4 linked regions of the Oryzias latipes genome follow. The protein of the gene in region 1 interacts with the protein of each later gene in a biochemical or structural test. Links are inferred from orthologs where the notes say so. Each region holds a gene or a part of one and is shown in the gene's direction. Other genes may lie near its edges.

Region 1 (5,916 bases):
TTTATGGTGCATACAACTTTGTAAGTGATTTAGTTAGATGAATAAAATGTTCAAGGTTTAAAGTAAATTCATTGACTTTATTTGAGAACTGGACTGAGCGATCCCTTGGGCTCCAAGAAGCCAAAATCCCATAGACTTCTATTTAGAAATAAACCATTATGACTCAGTCAAATTCTATTAGTCAGAAGAACCATTCTTGCTCTGATACCCTTTTTTAACATGTTCTTGCTAATCTTAATTGTATATTTTTCATTATATTTCTTCATTGCAAGTTATTCAAGTTATAAACTGGCCAACCAGATGCCTCAGTAACAGCATGCAGTTCTCGCTGGCCCCCACCTCGAACATTTGAAATGTTAGATTCTGAGGCCTCTTTCAGTGGAAGAAAGTTAGTGTGGACTTCCAACAAGCGTCCTGATTAGTGACAGTAGTTGCCATAGAAATGGAGACTGGGACCGACTTGGACCAATCACTGCCGAAAAATGGCGACTGAATTGGCTTCATTTGGTTGCCGTAAACCGTTTTCTGTGGGTTACGTCACACTCACTCAGTCCAGTTCTCTTGTACAGTTAATGGGTAAATTATCGAACTGCCATAGAACTCCCAGTTTCTGATGGTGAACATACTTTTAAGAAAACTAATATTTGTCTGCATTTTGGGACTAAAATAAACTTTAACGCCTAAATTTGTATCAAAAAAGGACAAAAAAAGAACTTTGCTTCTATCTCATCACATGCATTAGTTACTGTGCTAAAATAATTATTAGATTTGAAAAACATCTTCGACAAATAATTCTAGAATTCATTAATTTTAAATGAAATGATCCTGGATCATTAGTTAAACTAGTCAGAGATTTTCTGCAAATGTTAAAAGTATTCAGAGGTGATTTTTTTTTTTTGTTTATCTAAAAGGTTTTTCTAAACAACATAAGAAATATAAAACAGGATAATTTTATACTAACTTTGAGGCACAATTCTGTTTCTAAAATAAATTTTGAAAAAGAAAAAACTTGTTGTGAAAGACCTTTTTACACATATTCCCTACTGCAGCAGTGTAACAGATAAAAGTAAAGCTTGTTCTTGAGTTACCTTATTTAAGTAAAACTAGAGTCTGAAGTCAGCATGTAGTCATGCATGAGTAATTACTCTGCCATGTATATGCACAAGGAAATTTATTGCAGTTTTCCTCAGACTGTACTCGGACGTCAGTTTATTAGTCTTACCCCAAAAAAAGCACATGCAGTTTACAGCAGTCCAGCAATAAATCCTGCCTTCACCCTTGCAGCTTTAATAGGTCTTTTGATAAAGTTGCTTTAATGAGCCACGAATTGAACTTTACGGTTAAGTTTTTTTCAGGGCTGCAGGTTTGGACCTTTTGGGACTGGGTTGCATAATGTTCAGAAAAATGAAAATCATATCCTTCAAGAGAGGAGATGCTTCAATTATTTACGCAGTTATTATGCAAGACTGGATTCATTATAACTGTGTCTACCTTATAAAAAGTTGCAATAGTCTCTTCTCTAGTCCTTTTCTGTAAATCTCAAAACGGGTACACAAATTTTGGGGGAATTTTGAAGGTATTGTGTGTCAACTCTAAGCCACTGTGGTTCAGGCTGGTGGAGGGTGCTGTTTTTCACTGTTAATCATTAGTAGTAAATACTGCAAGCACGGTGATGGAAGGGGGCACTTGGCAGGGGTGTGGTGCTTAAATTTAAGCTAGAAGCACTTTTTTTTGTTGTTTTGGTGTGAATTGAGGACTTATTGCTGTTCCCCTCTGCTTAGTTCTTGCAGCACTCTATGCCTGGTTTCCTCTCTTTTCTGCAACACTGACTTCTCATCAGATCCGCTTGACTGTCACAGGCAATTTCTGGTCTCTCTGCTTTCTATATTTTAGTGTCCTAGTCATGTGAGTGTTTCTCATATTCATTGTGCAGATGTAACTCATGCTTTTTTTTTTTTTTTAAGTTTATCTGGCTCCATCAAGGTTATACAGAGTGACCTCCTGTCACACAGAATTGCTGGCTAAAGGGCTGTGGGGTTTGAAGGAGGGAAGGGAGGGGGGTCTCTTTGTCCCAGTCTTTGAAATCTGTTTCTCAAGTTACCAAACACGAAGGCAGGACTCTTGAATGGCCAACATAAACAGCCCAGTTTTTCCACGCATGCACTGCTGTGCACGTGGAGACACACACTCACCCTCTTCCTTCCTTCCCCATCTCCCCCCCTTGAGCATTAGAGTGCATTAATGTGCATGAGGGCAGTATGTAGCTGTGCATGCATATGTGCACTTCAAAATGACTCTGGCTGCAGAGAAGGGGGGGGGCAGGAAGGAAGTAGAATGGAAAAGAAGAAGGTGGAGGGGAGGGGGGCATGCAGCACTGCACGGTAGAGTAAGAGAGAACGAGAAAATGGGAGGCAGCATCACCCACCCAGACAGGAGGAGGGGAGGGTAGACAGCATGCTCGTCCCCTCAAACAGACAGAGGTGGAAGGAAAGCGGGCATGAGAGGCAGACACGAGGGGAGAAGAGAAGTACAATGAAGGAGTGCTATTGTCCATCCTGACAGCACTGCCATTTCACCATCCGCTGAGAGACGGGAAGGGTGACAAAGGAGGGGGACGAAAGAGGAGGCAGCCAAACGGAGGAGAGAGGATAGATGGAGAGGAGCGGCAGGAGCCGGCAGTGACTTTGTGAATTAACCGAGCGGAAGAGCGGATCAGAGAGGAAGCGCGATTTTTCTGGGAGTGGATGAGGAGAAAGCCAGAGAAAGAGGAAGGAGAGGACGAAGGATCCGACTTTCTGTGGCTGTTCAAACATCACTGGGGCTCTTCTTATTGGAACATGAAAACCAGCTTTTCATGAATGGTTTATTATTAATAATAATAATAAAAAACAACTATAGAAGCTTTGATATTTAGTGAGAAAAATGAAGAACACAGAAGCAAATGTGTTGCTCACTTGATACAAAACATTTTTTAAAGGACTTTTTGTAAATATAGACTCTCTTTTCGACTTCTAATTTTTATATTTTCTATAATTGTAGATCTGCAGGATGTTATACAATCATTTCTTTTAGAAGTTTCTCAGAAGATTCAGCTTTTTATGCAAGTTTTTGTAACAGTTGTCTTTTAAATACTAAGGTGTGGTGTTCCTTGTTAATTGAAAAAGGTTTTTTTTATTATTGTTTGATATGATTTGTGATTGACTAGCTGTTAGAGTCCGTACATGCATCCAATGTGGGATGTCAACACTGATTAGGTGTGATGGGTGGCTCCAAAGCAGTCAAACTTTGATCTTAATCGTATTCTTCTTCTAAAAGCCTGTGATTTTTTTTGTTTGTTTGTTTTATCCTGCCGTTCTGTGGAAAAAAATCCAAAAGGCTCATCTATTTTTCAGTTTGATTCCACAAAGCAGTTATCCCAGAAAATTCCTGCTGTTGTCGGGACTTTACGGCATACATGCTCGGCGGGCTTTTCTTTTAATGTCTGTTGCCATAGCAACGGGAAGCAGCTGCAGACAGAACTAGATGTAAAGTTCCTCTTTTCCTTTTTTTCAAAATTCATTTTAAAAACTGGTGCTGTTTCATTGCTGTTGCATAGATCATCATAGATGTAACATCTTAGAAAGAATTAGCCTGTGCTTTTGTATGATTTGTGGGTTTTGTGTTAGGGGTCATAGTTGTTAACTCTAACTTTGTCTGTGTGAAAGTTTGTTATCCAATGTTTTTTTTTCAGTTCATCTGTCCTCAATGTGCTACTATCAGGCATGACTGTGTGAATTAGATGATCACTCTGACTTCACTTGTACATATCCGTGGGTGCTGCTGTTTGACCCTGAGGCCTATGATCATCAGTCATCAGCAGTGCTGCATCTATGACAGTCTGTTCATTACAGCGCTCATCTGTTGGTGACTCAGGATTTCTCTTCATGTAGAGGGCCGTCTCCTCTGCAGTCACCTGACCTTCACTGTGTTTTGTGCACCAACATCCTAGAGCTAGGGTTGACTCGACTCTATTAGTTCTCTCAGAAGGAACAACTGGTGTTCCTAGTCTGCTGTTAACACGTGTTGGATGTGTTGCCTATGGAACGTTCTAAGCCTCTTTGGACTTAATTTTGGTTCTATTAAGTGTGTGACAGACTGTTAATTTATTCTGCATGCTTTTTATCTGAAGACTTTGTGTCTTTTCCAGCCATACTACTTTATAGCTTTCTGGAGATCATCCAGGCCTGTCTGGCAGTGGATGAGTATATCTGGATCCTCCTTGGTGCTTTTTGTCCAAGACCAGATGGATGGCTAGCTAGAACTGCTAGACAATCCCTCTGTGGTGCTAGACTGGTGTAGGCGACTGTTCCTTTTGCCATTCATCCAGCACCCACTACAATCTTGACCGTTATACTTTTGGCTTAGTTGCATTCTCAAATGTTATAATAAGCCATTCCTTTTGGTATTATTAAAAGGTTGGTGCCAGATGTGCAGCCTTGTGTAAGTTATTCATCTTTTGCAAGTCTAAAGGTCAATGTTCTGTAAATATGACTAGTGCCTCAGCAGCACTAAGGTTTAGGCAGGACAGCTTGCTGCAGGGCTAAAAGTGTACATTTGCCTCCCACTGAGGTCAAGTTGTTACAGACTGTTTCATTTGTGGGATGTTTGTTGTGAGCGACTGCTAATGTAAGAGTATTTGCCTTCTAGGTTGGTCTATGCAGAAAGATGCAGTGTTTTAAGGTGTCTGTTGGACAGAGCTGAGATCTGACTATTCCTTGCGTTGGGAAGGGAGCTGTCCTGGAATATAGCCTTTGGCTTTTTTATATCATACACTTTGTGGCAGTGTCAACATTCTTCTCTCAGGTAAACAACTATAATCTGGGCTTTTTATTGAATTGAACTACGAAACAATCAGATGACAGCAGCTGGCACTGGGTTAACAACAAAGGTCAGTTCTATTTGAGCTTCTTTCGAACCCAGATGAGTGAGTTCATCTTCAGCACTGATGAGCTCTCACTTTGCTGAAGCTGGATTATGAGATCAAACCTGACAAATCAGGTTTCATTACCATCACAACGAGCCCACCAGTAGTGTTCATCAGCCAATGACCCACATTCTCCCGTGTTACATCACCACCTTGGTGCTGCAGTGTCTGTCACTGTACCAGTCAGACAACATCTCCCAGGAGGCCTACCAAGATTCAATGGTGCTCAAGGAATAAACAGAAAAAAAAGAACAACAAAAAAAAAAAAGTGAAACTTGGTGGTCATTTTTAGGGAACACACTTAAACAAAAGCAGGCTCTTTTGTTTTTAGCCATATCAGGTACCTCTGTCAGGAACCGGCTCCGCTCTGCGAGTCCAGTCTTAAAAACAAACTTTTGTTTGGTTTTTCTTTGTTTTTCTATGGGTGTCTGTAATGACCATGTCTAGCCTCTAGCCATCCCAAAACCTTAAGTTCAAAAGGCATTCAGACGGGACTCACTTGTATTTTTTGAGTGAGGTTCTGTTAAACGGGACAGCCTGGAGAACGGGCGAGCCATCGAGGGAGGGGGAGAGGGGGCGCGAGAGATCATTTGGAAAAGAAGAGAGGAAGTGGTGGCGCAAGAGAGGGCGGAGGCGCTGGAGAGACAGAGGCTGGCAGAGTACATTGTGTGGAGGAGGAGAGAGGACTTCCAGGACAAGAAAGGAGACGGAGAGAAGGGGGGAAAGAGCACCGAAAAAGGAAAAGAGGCTTCACCAGAGGTCATCTGGAAGAGGAGAGAAGACGAAGAAGGAGACGCAGGAAGGGAGAGGGCCAAAGCCATTCAGAGAGGACATGAAATCATTTGGAGGAAGAGGGAGAGAGAGTAAAACAGGACCCGATGACACATTTGAGGGTGTCATGTTCATGAAAAGTAGCTGCTGAAGAAGCTGTTGCTACTGCTGACACAAAACTC
Region 2 (4,561 bases), about 5.0 Mb from region 1:
TTTCTGCAGAGGGGGTCTTTAAGAGACAAAACCAAATTTGTCTCTAGGAGAACTTAATTGGTCAAATTCAGAATTTAAGTGTTTTTTTTCGTCATAGCACAATTTCTTTTTTACTGTATTTTAAGAATGACACAAAAATGATAGCCCAAGAGAGAATTTAACAAAAATGTTGAATTTCTGTACCAATAAAAACATAACATTTATTTATTAATGTAGATTCACTAAGTATTTTTGATTTATTCAATTTATGTCCATTTTTCTGGACATTTTCTTTTGGACATACTAAGTTAGGTTACATTTAGTTTCCATGACTCAATCTGACCTCAGATTGAGACATCAGAGAATTGTAATCTTGTAGGTTTAACTTTTGTCCAGATCTCCAACAGAACTGCTTCTTTGCTACCCTAAATTTGATTTGCAGTAAGTCTATAATTTATTGTTTGATCTTTTAAATGAAATAACTTCAGTTTTTTTTTTTTTTTATGTGTATTACTTCTTTCTTCTTTTTTTTGTTTACTTTTGATTGGTTAGCCATAGGGTAACGTTGCGACATAGTTTGACGTGGTTTCATCTTCATGTTTATGCAGAGATGCAGGAATGCTGTGAAAACATGTCTGGCTCTTGTTGCCAGGGCTTTATGAGCCAGCAAAGCATTTAGGTGAAATTCGTCATTCCCTTCTTGTGTAATGGTGAGTATTTGAAGTAGCCCCCAAAACTGAATGTGCTTTCCCCAATCATGTTATTCTTGAATAGACCTCATATTCAGAAAGTGTATTTTTACCAAGGGATACTAAAATGATTGAATAATGGTTCCCAATACAGGTCATTTATATTTGAATTGCCGTAGCTTTTAACAGCTTTACACTATGAGTCACATTGTTTCAACAACATAATGGTAAAAATAAGAGCATCTTTTGTAAATGTATGTCATAAAGATCCAGTTCCGAAAATTGAGTTTTTGGTATATTTAAGCTGTTCTTGTGCCATTTTTCTGATGATGGAGTTACATCTGTAAAGAAAATTGAGCTTTAAATTGCATAACTAAATTTATTTTTTGTTTACATCCTTGTAAATCAGGAGCAGATGAAAAAATACCATTAGAAAAGTGTTTATAGAGAAAATACACTGGGCGAGCCTGAAGCCCCCTGTTCAGCTCCATTCTGATCCACTTGCAGACAGATCCATGTACGTTTTTGTTGTCTTTGTCCGAGTTTGCATCTGGCTCAAAACTGTACGGCAGGTTAGCTTCAATATTGCCCTCCGTTTTTGTTTCCCCGATAATGTTAGGTTAGGGGTGTGAGGGACTGTAGGACAGTGGGAGAGTGTGTAATTAGATAGCTTAGTTATGGGTGACGGTAAGGGAGGTTGGGGTTGTTCTGCACCAACAGTCCAACCACAACTCAGAGGCAAATTTCTAATGAACTACTGCCGCTCTGCAGAAACTATGCCCTAGTAAACATCACAGGTTTTTATTTGGCAGATTATCACAGAAGTTTTAGCAGCATCGCGAGATTATCAAAGGACTAAAAATGCTTTATAATTTGATGTATATTGATAGTCTGTTAAATATCTGTGTGGTCTTTTAGTAGATTTGCCACAATGATAGTTACATGGATGCTACTGATTGCCATGCTGGTGGCGCTGGTAAACGGAGCTTGGAATGGTAAGTGTTCCTCTCAGAAAGATATATATTCTTAACTCTAGGAAAAACGCTAGCTTTTAGAAGTTTGAACCCATGAAGGAGTGCACATTTAATGCAGCTTTCTGTTTTAAGGTGACAACTTGAATCGCTGTGCAGATGTCCAGTCGTCAAGCCCTGTGGTACCCCTAGGGTCACCAGTCAATGCCACCTGTGTCGTCGACAAGGGTTGCCCTCTTTTCTTGGGACAGGCTGTTCAACTTGAATGGCTTCTTGACAGTGAAGTTATTCCTGGCAGTACTGAGTTCAACAAGAATGAGACGAAGTCCACAGTTGCCATTTCAAGCTTTAATCACACGAAGGCCGTTCTCACGTGCTACATCAAAAACTTTGACCAGATTGTGGGAGGAGTGCAGATCCATGCTGGATGTGAGAAAGAATCCTCTTTTCATTTGTTCAATCAGATGTTTTTATGTGTTTTTCCAGCAAATGCAACCCTTTAGTGTGTAACAGTAGTGGTAAAATATCTGCACACTTAAAATATACAGATACAGTGGTGGACAAAATTGTTGGTACCCCTCAGTTAAAGAAAGAAAGTCCACAATGCTCACTGAAATGACTTGAAACGTTCAAAAGTGAGAATAAATTAAAATTTATTGAAAATAAAAATATCAAAATCAGCCATCACTTTTGTGTTTTTGATTAACAGAATTATTTTAAAAAACAAACTAATGAAACAGGGCTGGACAAAAATGATGGTTCCTCCATAAAAGACTGAGAACTATTCACAGCTATTCACATCACAGCTGTTTTCAAACCCATAATCATTCAGTCTGCCTATTTAAAAGGAGACAAATAGTCATGTTGCTGTTTGGTAAAAAGGTGTTTACCACACTGAACATGGACAACAGAAAGTGAAGGAGAGAATTGTCCCAGGACATTAGAAACAAAATTATAGACAAACATCGTAAAGGTAAAGGCTAGAAAACCATCTCTAAGCAGCTTGAAGTTCCTGTGACGACAGTGGCACATGTTATTCAGAAGTTTGAGATCCACGGGACAGTAGCCAACCTCCCTGGACGTGGCCAGAAGAGGAAAATTGATGACAAATTGAGGAGACCGATAGTTCGAACTGTATCCAAAGAGGCCAGGATAACCTCCAAAGACATTAAACCTTGTGCTATCTTAGATGACCCCACCCTGACTTTGACGTGTTCTTCCTACCATAACAAAGGTGGATAAAGGTGGAAAGATTTCATGTAATCCATGGACACCAGTGAAGATCACAAAGCACTGAAGAAAAAAGGTTCAGAGCATTGTCTAGTGGGTCTAGATGACCCAACTCCCAATGTTAAAGTGCCTAGGATAGCACAAGGGTTACAGGTGAACTCCTAGATCAAGGTACATCAGTGTCAGATCACACCATTCGTCGTTGTTTGAGCCAGAGTGGACTTCATGGAAGATGACCAATGAGGACAACACTGTTGAAAGGAAATTATGAAAAAGCAAGACTGGAATTTGCAAAAAATGCATCTTGACAAGCCACCAAGCTTCTGGGAAAATGTCCTTTGGATAGATGAGACAAAACTGGAGCTTTTTGGTAAGACACATCAGCTCTATGTTCGTATACTCAAAAATGAAGCATACAACCAAAAGAACACTGTCCCTACTGTTAAACATGGAGGAGGCTCAGTTCTGTTTTGGGGCTGCTTTGCTGCATCTGGCACAGGGTGTCTTGAAGCTGTGCAAGGTAAAATGAAATCTCAAGATGATCAAGGCATTCTGGATAGAAATGTGCTGCCTAGTGTCAGAAAGCTTGGTCTCAGTCGCAGGTCATGGGTCTTCCAACAGGACAACGATCCAAAACACACAGCCAAAAACACCCAAGAATGGCTGAGAGAAAAGCGTTGGAATATTCTGAAGTGGCCTTCTATGAGCCCAGATCTGAATACCATTGAACATCTGTGGAAGGAGCTGAAACCTGCCATTTGGAGAAGACACCCGTCAAACCTGAGACAGCTGGAGCAGTTTGCTCATGAGGAGTGGGCCAAAATACCTGTGGACAGGTGCAGAAGGCTCATTGACAAATACAGAAACTGTTTCATTGCAGTGATTGCCACAAAAGGTTGTGCAACAAAATATTAAGTTATGGGTACCATCATTTTTGTCCAGCCCTATTTCATTAGTTTTTTTTTAAATAATTCTGTTAATAAACAACTCAAAAGTAATGGCTGATTTTGATTATGTGATTTTCAATCAATTTTAATTTATTGTTACTTTTGAGCGCTTCAAGTCATTTCAGTCAGCATTGTGGACCTTCTTTTTTTAACTGAGGTGTACCAACAACTTTCCCCACCACTGTATCAATTTCTCCTCCATGATCCATTTCAAATACTTAGCACTTCTGCAAATTGAAGGGTGCCATCCATCCATCACTACCAAGTCCCTGATTAGTTGAAGTTAAACCTGGTACTTTCAACACGCAATCAACGGCAGCGTGTTTGTGCACACAGACCCCGATAATGGTCTTAAAAATGTGTGTGCGTGAAGATTTTGGAACGTGGAAGCCAGAAACACGCTTTTGTGTGAAAGTAGTCTAAGGGAATCTCTTCCTTTTCCACCACATTGGGATGCAGACAAGTTATTTTATATATTGACACCTAAATCCAAAGATGTGTCTTTGGACCAGATCATCAGTCAATCATTCGCTCTTTATCTGTGGTTATTTCAGAATGAGTTTGAAAATGTCCTATTATCCCATCTTTTGAAGTGAACACCTTTAAAACAAATGCTGATGTAAAAATTAAAGTTAATAAATCACACTTTCACATCCTCATCAATCCTCCATTCATGCATTTATTATGTTTTTGTTTGTTCTCTTTATCCGTAGATCCACCAGAAGTGCCACAAAATCTTAGTTGT
Region 3 (4,561 bases), on another chromosome or scaffold:
ACCTAACATTGAATTTAAGACAGACTTAACTCTTTTTTTTTTTTTTTTTCTTATAAAATCTTATAGTTTTATCCATAATGATTTGTTGTAATTATTTCTTTTCATTTTATGTTTGCTTTGCATGCATGAGATCAACATGTTTACTGTCTCTCCTGCCTCAGTTCTGAGCATGAACTACTTTCTCAGCTGTCAACACACTCGCACTGGGCGGGCCTGGCCTCTCTGTAACCTAAGATCTTGGTCCTTCTGCTCCCCACAGGGTAACAAGATCCAAGATCACTTTGTCTTATACAGAAGAGAGAGGTTCCCTTAACACACCCACTGTCTTTCTTCAACCATTGCTTTATTGCCTATCAGTTAGATGCTAACCCAGCAGACAGGGGGAAATCCGAATTTTATTTAGAAACAGCCTAGGAAAACCAGGTGGAGGTTCTGTAGACTTTTGCTTACCTTTACTGTTGCAGTTTTCACAAGTTCTTGAAGAATCTTGTTTTAGTTCATTTATCAGCTTTGTGGCACTGCAAATGATTTAGCAGTGCAATGATTCAATTTCAAATTTAATGCACTCTGTTTCAACTGTCTGCTTTTACTGGTAATTGTTGCACCTTTTTGTTTTGTTGAAATAAAAACAGAAGTTTTTTTTATTCTCATTTTATAGAACACCGCTGATGTATTCTGAGGTTTTCTGTTGAAAATACTCCCTGAATTCTGTATGTGAAGCTCAAAATCGCAGCTTTTTTTCTTTTTTTTTGTTGCCTTTTTTTTCAGTTAGCTTTTTCTATTAGCTTCTCTTCAGTCTATAAAGTAGAATGAAAAACAAAATAAATCACTTGATGGCCGGCTTTTCTTTATATATTAGGTCGCTGAAATCTTTTGAACAAAGCTTTTGTTCTGAAAATCCCAGATATATATTTCTGCTTCAGGCTTCTGTCCTCTGGCTCTCGCCACTCCATAGAAAGGGTAGCGCTGCTAAAATTTAAGTGCACACAGAAACAAAAGCCCTCCCGGGATACACGGAGTGAAAATGACATAAATAAAGCTTTTGGTCAGCTTGTGGTCATCTGGGAATGAAACAGTCAGTGTGAGAACATGCGTATAACCTTTGGCCTCATTTTTGTGCTTACCCTGCAGGCATGGAAGAAGCGATGGTTTGTTCTTCGCAGTGGCCGTCTAACAGGCGACCCAGACGTCTTGGAGTATTACAAGAATGACCACACCAAGAAGCCTATTCGTGTAATAGATCTCAACTTGTGTGAGCAGGTATTACTCCTTGTTCCATGGGAAACACTCGATTTGTGTTGTGACAGTTTTGCTGTAGATGCAGTGGAGATACTTGCTACGTTCTTTTTCTTTTCTTTCTTAAATGAGGGTTTGTTTAAAGCCTGCTAGTCTAGCTTTATAGTTCATTCCACATTTTTTTACATTTATGTAAGCCATTATATTTGTGAAAATGAACACTTCTTGGGAACTTCAGTATAACTTGGTAGGTAAGGCTGTTTGTATAACTGGGGGTGGGGTGAAGGGTTGATTCGGACTTAACCAGAGATATAGTATCAATTAACTAAGCTAAATAATACACAATATAATCACTATGACTTAGAAATGACTCAAAAAACTAAAATTGCAACAGTAAAGCCTAATTTATTCAAAGTTTAATTGTGTGGCTAAATGTTTTATGGATGAAGAATGAGGGGGGGAAAACAGAAGGAAAACTTCCAAGAAATGTAGGGAAATCTTTACTTTTAGCCATTATAAAGTTGTTTACAGTATGATTATTATTTATATGTTCTATTCATTCAGTTACCTTTTCATGTAATATTGAGGACCAAAAGAATTGGCACACACGAAATAATTAAACATTTATTTTAAAAAAAATCAATAGTTGCATCATCCAGAACTAAGTTCATCATTCTAAAATATTTCAAGTAAAAAGAAAATAGTAAAAACAAACAGCAAAATGTATTAACCACTGGGTAGTTTTTAATTCTAATCATGTTTTCTCACTCCACTTTTTTTAAATACCATTTCTTAGCAGTGACTTAGTACCTGAACATAATGAAAAGGACTCCTAGAAAAACAAGAATAGAGTCTGAGTCAGAAAGTTTCTGGAAGATGTTATATCACAATGCCTAAAATGCACAAAAACCAGTGAGAATCTCTGACAAGTGATGGTAGTTAAAATGGTTCATGGTTACTTGGGAAGCTCTACAAAACATCATGGTAAAGTAAACAACCCCCAAAAAAATTAAAAAACTCAAGTAAAACCACTTGCATACAATTTAAAAACAATTTTGAAACAGTAAATGAAAATGATAAAATCATTATTTTAGCACGTGTTAAAAAACAGTCTGGGGGCAGTTCTGTTTTTTTTTCTTTCTGAATTAGGCTTAAGGAGGAAGTGTAAGTGTTGCCCTTTGCTATGTCCAGGAGCAGCTGATTAGCTGACCCAAGGGACTGGGAGAGAGGTGTGTGCCTGTAAGAGCTCAGAGTTCAGGGCAAGGCCACTGAAAGCATAAAAACAATTAAGTCTCTTAAACGAACAGGCAAAAAAACCAAGACTTGTTCACCAAACTGTATTTTTTGTTATTAACACAGATCAAACTCAGTCACCTTGATACTGAACCACTATGTTGTAAGACAAACTCTGTTGACGTCTCACCCTAGGTTGATGCTGGGCTGACGTTTAGCAAGAAGGATTTGGAGCACAGCTTCATTTTCGACATTAAGACCATCGACCGTGTCTTTTACCTGGTGGCTGACACTGAGGAAGAAATGAACAAGTGGGTTCGCCACATCTGTGACATCTGTGGTTTTAACCCCACTGACGATGGTAAGCGTTGCCCCATAAGTCGTTATTGTACTCCTAACAATTACAAGTCCTGTTACTGTTGTGTCAATGTTCGTTTCAGGGAAGTTGAATACTCTACAGTAAACAAAACTGATTATTGTTAAGCAGAAACAATGTTTTAACATTAGCTATTTTATTAATCAGCCAAAAAAAAACTTAAAAGTCAAAACGACTCCCTAACCATTTGTAATGTGAGTTAAAGAGCAACATGACATTTTTTTTTCCATTTAGCTTTCAGGATTTATTTATTTATGGGAAATTAATAACTCGCTGCTCTAAACTTGAAATCTCCTCAGCAACAGTTTTTTATTCAAAAGTTGTTGTTTGACAATACTTCTTACCATCCTGCACCAGGCCTTTTGTTAGTTTTTGGTAAAATGCATACACAAAGAGCACTGTAACAAGCATTTTTCGTCTTTTAATTGTCTGTAGTATAGGGCAAAAATCGTAATACAAAAGTCTTTATGTGAAAATGAATCTAAAGTTTTAAAAATCCGACTTTAGTTTGCTGGTGCTTTGAACATGTTTTTTTAAGGAGACCTATATGTCCAGTGATATGAGATCCTTGAACTCCTCCACACAGTCAAGCTCCACTTCTCCTAGGAACCCACCAGATGGATGACATTTTAGCTATTTTATTTTTATTGGTAAATATAATCATAGTTCTGTTGTTGTCCATTAACATGTATGAGTTAATGAGCCACTGCTGAATATTTCCAAGTTCTGCTATAAAAGTTGTAAATATTTTCTGTTTGCTATTAGCATAATCAAAGCCCCAAGTACTTTATAAGTCTTTCAGCCCTTTTTTTCTTCTAGTTCCAATTTCTCTTGCTCCTTAGCAGTAAAATGCATCAGCTTTTAAGTGAGGTTTGACATAAGGGACTGCACAGGTTCTTTTTAGAAGAGGACACTTGTCAAAGTTGTCAAGTGACTCATTGGTTATGGTGCTCTGTCATCCTTGCAGCAGCTATGCCTCAAGTTCAGGAAAAAAATACTAACATTGAGCTCCTCTTGAACAGAATTTTTCATATTGGCTCTTTAAAGACGCACAAGCTAACAGACTTTTCAAGGATAAAAATTGAGACATATTTTTTTTTTCAGATAGGCCTCTTTGGCTGTTATTGTAAAAGAATGTCCTTGGCTCTCTTTCTGTTTGCACTTCTCTGTGTGTGAGACCCAGCTCCCACTCCTCTGTAATGTGTGGCCACACTACACGCAGAGCGCTTCAGAGCCGAGCAGATATTAGAGGAAGGAACATTAGGAAAGCTGGAGGAATGGAAGCTCTCAGAGATGGTGTAGGTGGTATAGATTAGTACTTTCACACACATAAAAAAAGCATTCCCCCCTTTTTTTTCTCTGCAGATTCTTACACAAAACCTAAATAGCAAAAAGGAGCGAACACAAGTGCCGGAATTGACTAGAAATGTTTTTATTAACTCAAAACTGCTTTTGTTTTACAACAAAAAATAGGATTGCTTGGATTATAAGCAGTCATCTTTGTTCACATTTTAGGAGAACAACTCAAGCAGACATTTTTTTTAAAAGATTGGAAATATGGTAACTCTCCCTGTTACAAAGCACAGACCTTGGTGAGGAACTGTATTTATCTAGTGTGGGAAGAAAAACAACAAAACATACAGGCCAAATATCCCAACAATCTACAAATGCCAGTGTTTCATGTCATGGTAAAGACTTTTGACTGTTCTGTAGCAT
Region 4 (4,561 bases), on another chromosome or scaffold:
TAAAGGTTAGATTGAGGCTGAAGTTGGAGTCTGTTTTTTTATTTTATTGATGCAACAAAGTTAATTCTGAAAATGCAGCTTCTTCTCAGAAAAGAATTTTGCTTTTGTTGTATGTTTTTGAGATCATTTTATTGAAAACATCGTGTCACTCCTGGTAAGAATTTATTGGACCAAAGTGCCTGTTAAGGGTGTTTATAATGAGAACTAGGTAAGAGTTATCTGATTGTGCTGAGAATAATTTAGTTTTCTCTCTTTTGTCTTCAGTCTTTTCTAATGCAATGTGTTGCTTCTTTGGCTTTCACCTGTTCATCTTTAGCAGCCTTCCTTAAAGAAAAAAAAAAAAGAAAAACAAAACTCCTTTAAGGTTTCATTTGTGTTATAAGGAAAGATGAATCCCTTAATGTTGGAATCCATTGGGAGTTATCAGTTTAATGATCAAACACATACTCTGCCTTCACAGAGAAAAGGATCATTAATATGTTTTTTATTCTAAAAACTGTTCTGGTGAAACGACTGGTGAGGCAGCAGGATGTTTTTGTTGGGTGGAAACTCAACTGCAGCTCAGCTAAGATGTGATAATAGACATTTTCCAGGAGCCCCCTACCAGGAACATGTTGATGTTTATACCCCCCAACCCAGACTAACTGGCACTGACGCACACAATGCACCATGAATCCTGTAGAGAACAAGCCAGATGTGGGTTTGGAAAAGTGAAACTTGCAGATTGAGTTTTTATAGCTTAGGAAACAAAAATAGGAGGAAACAAAATAGAAATCCCACCGTTTCGTCTGTCCACAGGCTTTTATCTGTTATCTAACCATTGTGTGCAGCCATTTCTGTATGAACCCCTGTCTCAGACTTGCTTTTAAATTAGCGTACACTGCTAACACTTTGTCTATTTTTATCTTTGCAGGCACATAGGATAATTTAAAAAAATAGATTTTGGGAGGAGAATAGTAATTTGGGTTTATTTATGCATAAGGACTTCTACCTGGGTCATAAATTCACCTGACCAATCTGTAAATATGTTTTTGCGTTTTTGTTACAGTGACAACAAACGTGTAAAATTGAAACACAATTTTTGCATCAGTCTGTGTGAAGGAAAACCTAAAAATATTGGAACAATTGTTTGTTTAAATCATATTTTATATATAATGTTTTAATGTGAAATATAGACATACATCATATTTCTATGATAAAGCTCCATTTCGTTTATTTACTTGGACCAACCTTTCTCAGATTATTGGTTGCAAACTTGAGATATTTACTTTACTAGAAACTATTGTCTTGTTGTGTAACGTCTCTCTGTTTCAACGTGAGCGTGAACTTTTCTCATAAAAAAAATCCTCATTTCAGCTTAATTCTCCTGTTTCCTGATCAAATTTTTCAATCTTTTTGTTTAGTTTCCAGGTTGAGGGCGATGTAAAAGAAGAGATCCTCCAGCCTCCTGAGCCTCACCCAGTCCCCCCGATCCTCACCCCGTCTCCTCCGTCAGCTTTCCCCACGGTCACCAACGTACGTCAGGACAATGATCGCTACCACCCTAAACCGGTCATGCATGTCCTACAGTCCAACGTCACACAGGTGAGGTGGATTTTTGAAGTTCGACCTTTTATCATTTAATATGTTAACACTTTGGTTGAACTAAAACCAGAATCTGAGGATTTATTTCAATGGTCTGCAGAGACTTTGCTGCTCTTGCATCATAAAGTGCAAATAATATGAAGGTTGCAAATGCTGCAAATCTCCAACAGGTATAAGAGAAACTTTGCTGAAAATATCTTCATGGAATCATAAATTAGCATTAGGCTAATATTAATTATTATCCTCGCACAAAACCAAGCACTTCTTTTAAAGAATTGGGGGTTTCTGGGGGATTTCAAGTAAGTTTTAATGTTTTACTCAAGTTTAAGCAACGACTTTAGATGCTTTTTGCGTTAGAATTTAGAAAATAATAATTACCTGGTTATAAATGATACATAAAAGTTATGTTAATAAGATGTATATTTTTGGAAATCTTTGTTACCATATAATCTACATTTTACGTCACAAATTGTGCCTGTTTATGGGATCATTTGCAAAATAGCAGTCAAAAATGTCAAAGATTAGCTCAATTTGGGGTTATAACAAATATCTGAATACTCAGATATTCATGATCTGTTCCGGAAAGTACAAGTAGGATTATTTGCGATGTCAGAGATTGTTGAACTATCCAAACAACACAAGGACGAAGGCAAATGATGTTGTGAAGATTCTGGCTGAAGATGGTATGAATGTTTCATTATAAACAGTGAAATGAGTACTGTACAGACACGGGGTGACAGGCTACTCTGCCGGGAAGAAGCCATTACTCAAAAAAAACACAGAAAAGCAAATAAAGACTTTCATTTTTGGAGACACGTCCTGTGGTCTGACGAAACTAAAATTGGACTGTTTGGCCACAATGACCATCGCTATGTTTGGAGGAAAAAGAGAGAAGCTTGCAGGCCTCAGAACACCATCCCAAGTGTGAAACATGGGGGTGGTAGCATCATGTTGTGGGTTTGTGTTGCTGCTGGATAGACTGGTGCACTTCCCAAAATAGATGTGGAAATATTGAAGCAGCATCTGAAGACATGAGCCGGAAAGTTGAAGCTGGGCCGCAAACGGATCTTCCCTATGGACAACGACCCGAAACATACCGCCAAAATGGTTACAAAGTGGCTGAAGGATAACAAAGTCAATGTTTTGGCCTGGCCATCACAGAGCCCGGATCTTATTCCTATTAAACATTTATGATCAGAGCTGAAAAGGCGTGTACATCCAAGGCGACCTACAGTCACACCAGTTCTGTCAGGAGGAAAGGGCCAAAAATTTCTACCGAATCTTGTGGAAAGAAATCCAAGACATTTGACCCAAACACTGCAGTTTAAAGGCAATATTACCAAATACTTAATAAATGAATGTAAACTTTGATAAAAGTAATTAAAACTTGTCTGAAAAAAAACCCTAGTGCCATAATTCTGAAATTCAGCAAATGGAAATAATTTTGTTAATTGTAACTGACCCAAAACAGGAAATGTTTACTTTGATTTCATGTCTGATGGTGAGAAAAAAAAAGGATATGTGTGTTTATATGTGGTGTATGTAAACTTCTGGTTTCTACTGTACATATAGCAACTATTCAGACAGAAAGATTAAAAAGTAAGAACCATGGTTGGATTTGTGAATTATAGATCCTTGAATCAAATCAGATCGCCATAAAGTAACAATCCATGGCTCTAGCACAAGTGTTCTTTTATGGTTGCAAAAACTGTTTTTTTTATTATTTTTTAATGTTTTTTTTTGCAGAATAAAGACAAAGATGGGCTTCAGAACAAATCTGACCCAGTCAAACAGACCAGTCCCTCAGAGCAGAAAGATGTATTAAGCCGAAACCAACAAACTCAGGTCTCAAATGTAGACCTCAATGACAACTACAACAACAAGTTCTCCTCCACGTCTACAAAGCCAGAATTTGGTCAAAGCCAGACTCAGGCGCCGTCCTCACCCCTCTCCCCGGTCATTGAATGTCCCGGCATTCCTCGGATCGAGAGGAAGCTCAGCATTGAGATTAAAAAGGTGCCGCTGCAGGAAGGACCTCGGAGCTTTGACACGTCTTCTTCTGTCGGAGGAGCAGGCGGACAGGGAGCCAGCTCCTGCAGCAGCGGCTGCATGCTGCAAAGAGGCCAGGCCTTCAAGTCTCGCTCCACTCAGTCCCTACTGACGTCGAGCTCCTCCCTGTCGGAGGATTCGGGCACAGAAGGAGGAGCGCTTGGATGTTTGGAGAGTCACACCGAGGGAAGCGCTTTACCCAGGCCAAACCACCTCCCTGTGAAGAGCGGAGATAAGGTGGAGCCGCGCGAATGCAGCAGAGCGGACGTGAAAACCGGACACGCGTCGTGGACGGAGCCCTGCAACAGCCCCGAGAAACTATTCCCTAAAACCTCTTCTTCCTCTTCCTCTTCAGACCGAGTTGCTCCCTCTTCGTCCTCCTCCTCCCACCTCTCCTCTTCCTCTTCCTCCTCTTCTTCGTCCACCCCTGTTAGGACTGCCATAAGTTTCACCAACCCCTTACATTCGGATAACTCGGAGGAGGATGGGAACGAAGTGATGTCCTGTGAAAAGGAGGCTCTTCATACAAGCGTATCCATGGTGACCACCGTGGTGTCCTCGTCGCTTCTTCAACCAGTCAGAAAGGCGTTGCCTGTCTCTATCGTGGGCCACAGCATTTCATCGCCCACTGCAGCCACTGCAAGTATGTCAAAATGTCACTTTCAGGGAAAGCTAAAACGTTTACTGCCGGTCATTTTTAGGGCAAATGTTTTTTATTTCAATTAAGTTTTAGTTTTAGTTAAGGCACGGAGATGACTTTGTTTTATCATTGCTATAGAAGCACATGGTAGGGCTATTTCCTTAAATCTTAAGCTATCAGCACCCTCATGTCAGAGCACTTAAGGAAAAGGGAAAAAAAAGGCATTTTAACATTTTCTGTCAGAAAGCATGACTGTTGACTAACTGATCGGTGTGCTGCAGATTCTGG

What was found.
Region 2: the proteins of shc1 (region 1) and csf3r form a complex in vitro, tested with the Homo sapiens proteins (2 studies listed by BioGRID, with this or other methods). The link is inferred for Oryzias latipes from reciprocal best matches to the Homo sapiens genes SHC1 and CSF3R.
Region 3: the proteins of shc1 (region 1) and gab1 form a complex in vitro, tested with the Homo sapiens proteins (2 studies listed by BioGRID and IntAct, with this or other methods). The link is inferred for Oryzias latipes from reciprocal best matches to the Homo sapiens genes SHC1 and GAB1.
Region 4: the proteins of shc1 (region 1) and tyrosine-protein phosphatase non-receptor type 12 form a complex in vitro, tested with the Homo sapiens proteins (2 studies listed by BioGRID). The link is inferred for Oryzias latipes from reciprocal best matches to the Homo sapiens genes SHC1 and PTPN12.

What each region holds. Positions count from the first base shown.
Region 1 is NC_019874.2:18,333,336-18,339,251, reverse strand, and holds the start of shc1 (SHC-transforming protein 1), read left to right. Parts: upstream 1-2,390; 5' UTR 2,391-5,916. UniProt on the Homo sapiens protein: Signaling adapter that couples activated growth factor receptors to signaling pathways. Participates in a signaling cascade initiated by activated KIT and KITLG/SCF.
Region 2 is NC_019874.2:23,367,321-23,371,881, forward strand, and holds part of csf3r (granulocyte colony-stimulating factor receptor), read left to right. Parts: intron 1-587; 5' UTR 588-689; intron 690-1,586; 5' UTR 1,587-1,599; coding exon 1,600-1,663; intron 1,664-1,774; coding exon 1,775-2,068; intron 2,069-4,529; coding exon 4,530-4,561. UniProt on the Homo sapiens protein: Receptor for granulocyte colony-stimulating factor (CSF3), essential for granulocytic maturation. Plays a crucial role in the proliferation, differentiation and survival of cells along the neutrophilic lineage.
Region 3 is NC_019859.2:18,117,999-18,122,559, reverse strand, and holds part of gab1 (GRB2-associated-binding protein 1), read left to right. Parts: intron 1-1,131; coding exon 1,132-1,260; intron 1,261-2,664; coding exon 2,665-2,830; intron 2,831-4,561. UniProt on the Homo sapiens protein: Adapter protein that plays a role in intracellular signaling cascades triggered by activated receptor-type kinases. Plays a role in FGFR1 signaling. Probably involved in signaling by the epidermal growth factor receptor (EGFR) and the insulin receptor (INSR).
Region 4 is NC_019881.2:13,866,857-13,871,417, forward strand, and holds part of tyrosine-protein phosphatase non-receptor type 12, read left to right. Parts: intron 1-1,403; coding exon 1,404-1,584; intron 1,585-3,330; coding exon 3,331-4,276; intron 4,277-4,561. UniProt on the Homo sapiens protein: Dephosphorylates a range of proteins, and thereby regulates cellular signaling cascades. Dephosphorylates cellular tyrosine kinases, such as ERBB2 and PTK2B/PYK2, and thereby regulates signaling via ERBB2 and PTK2B/PYK2.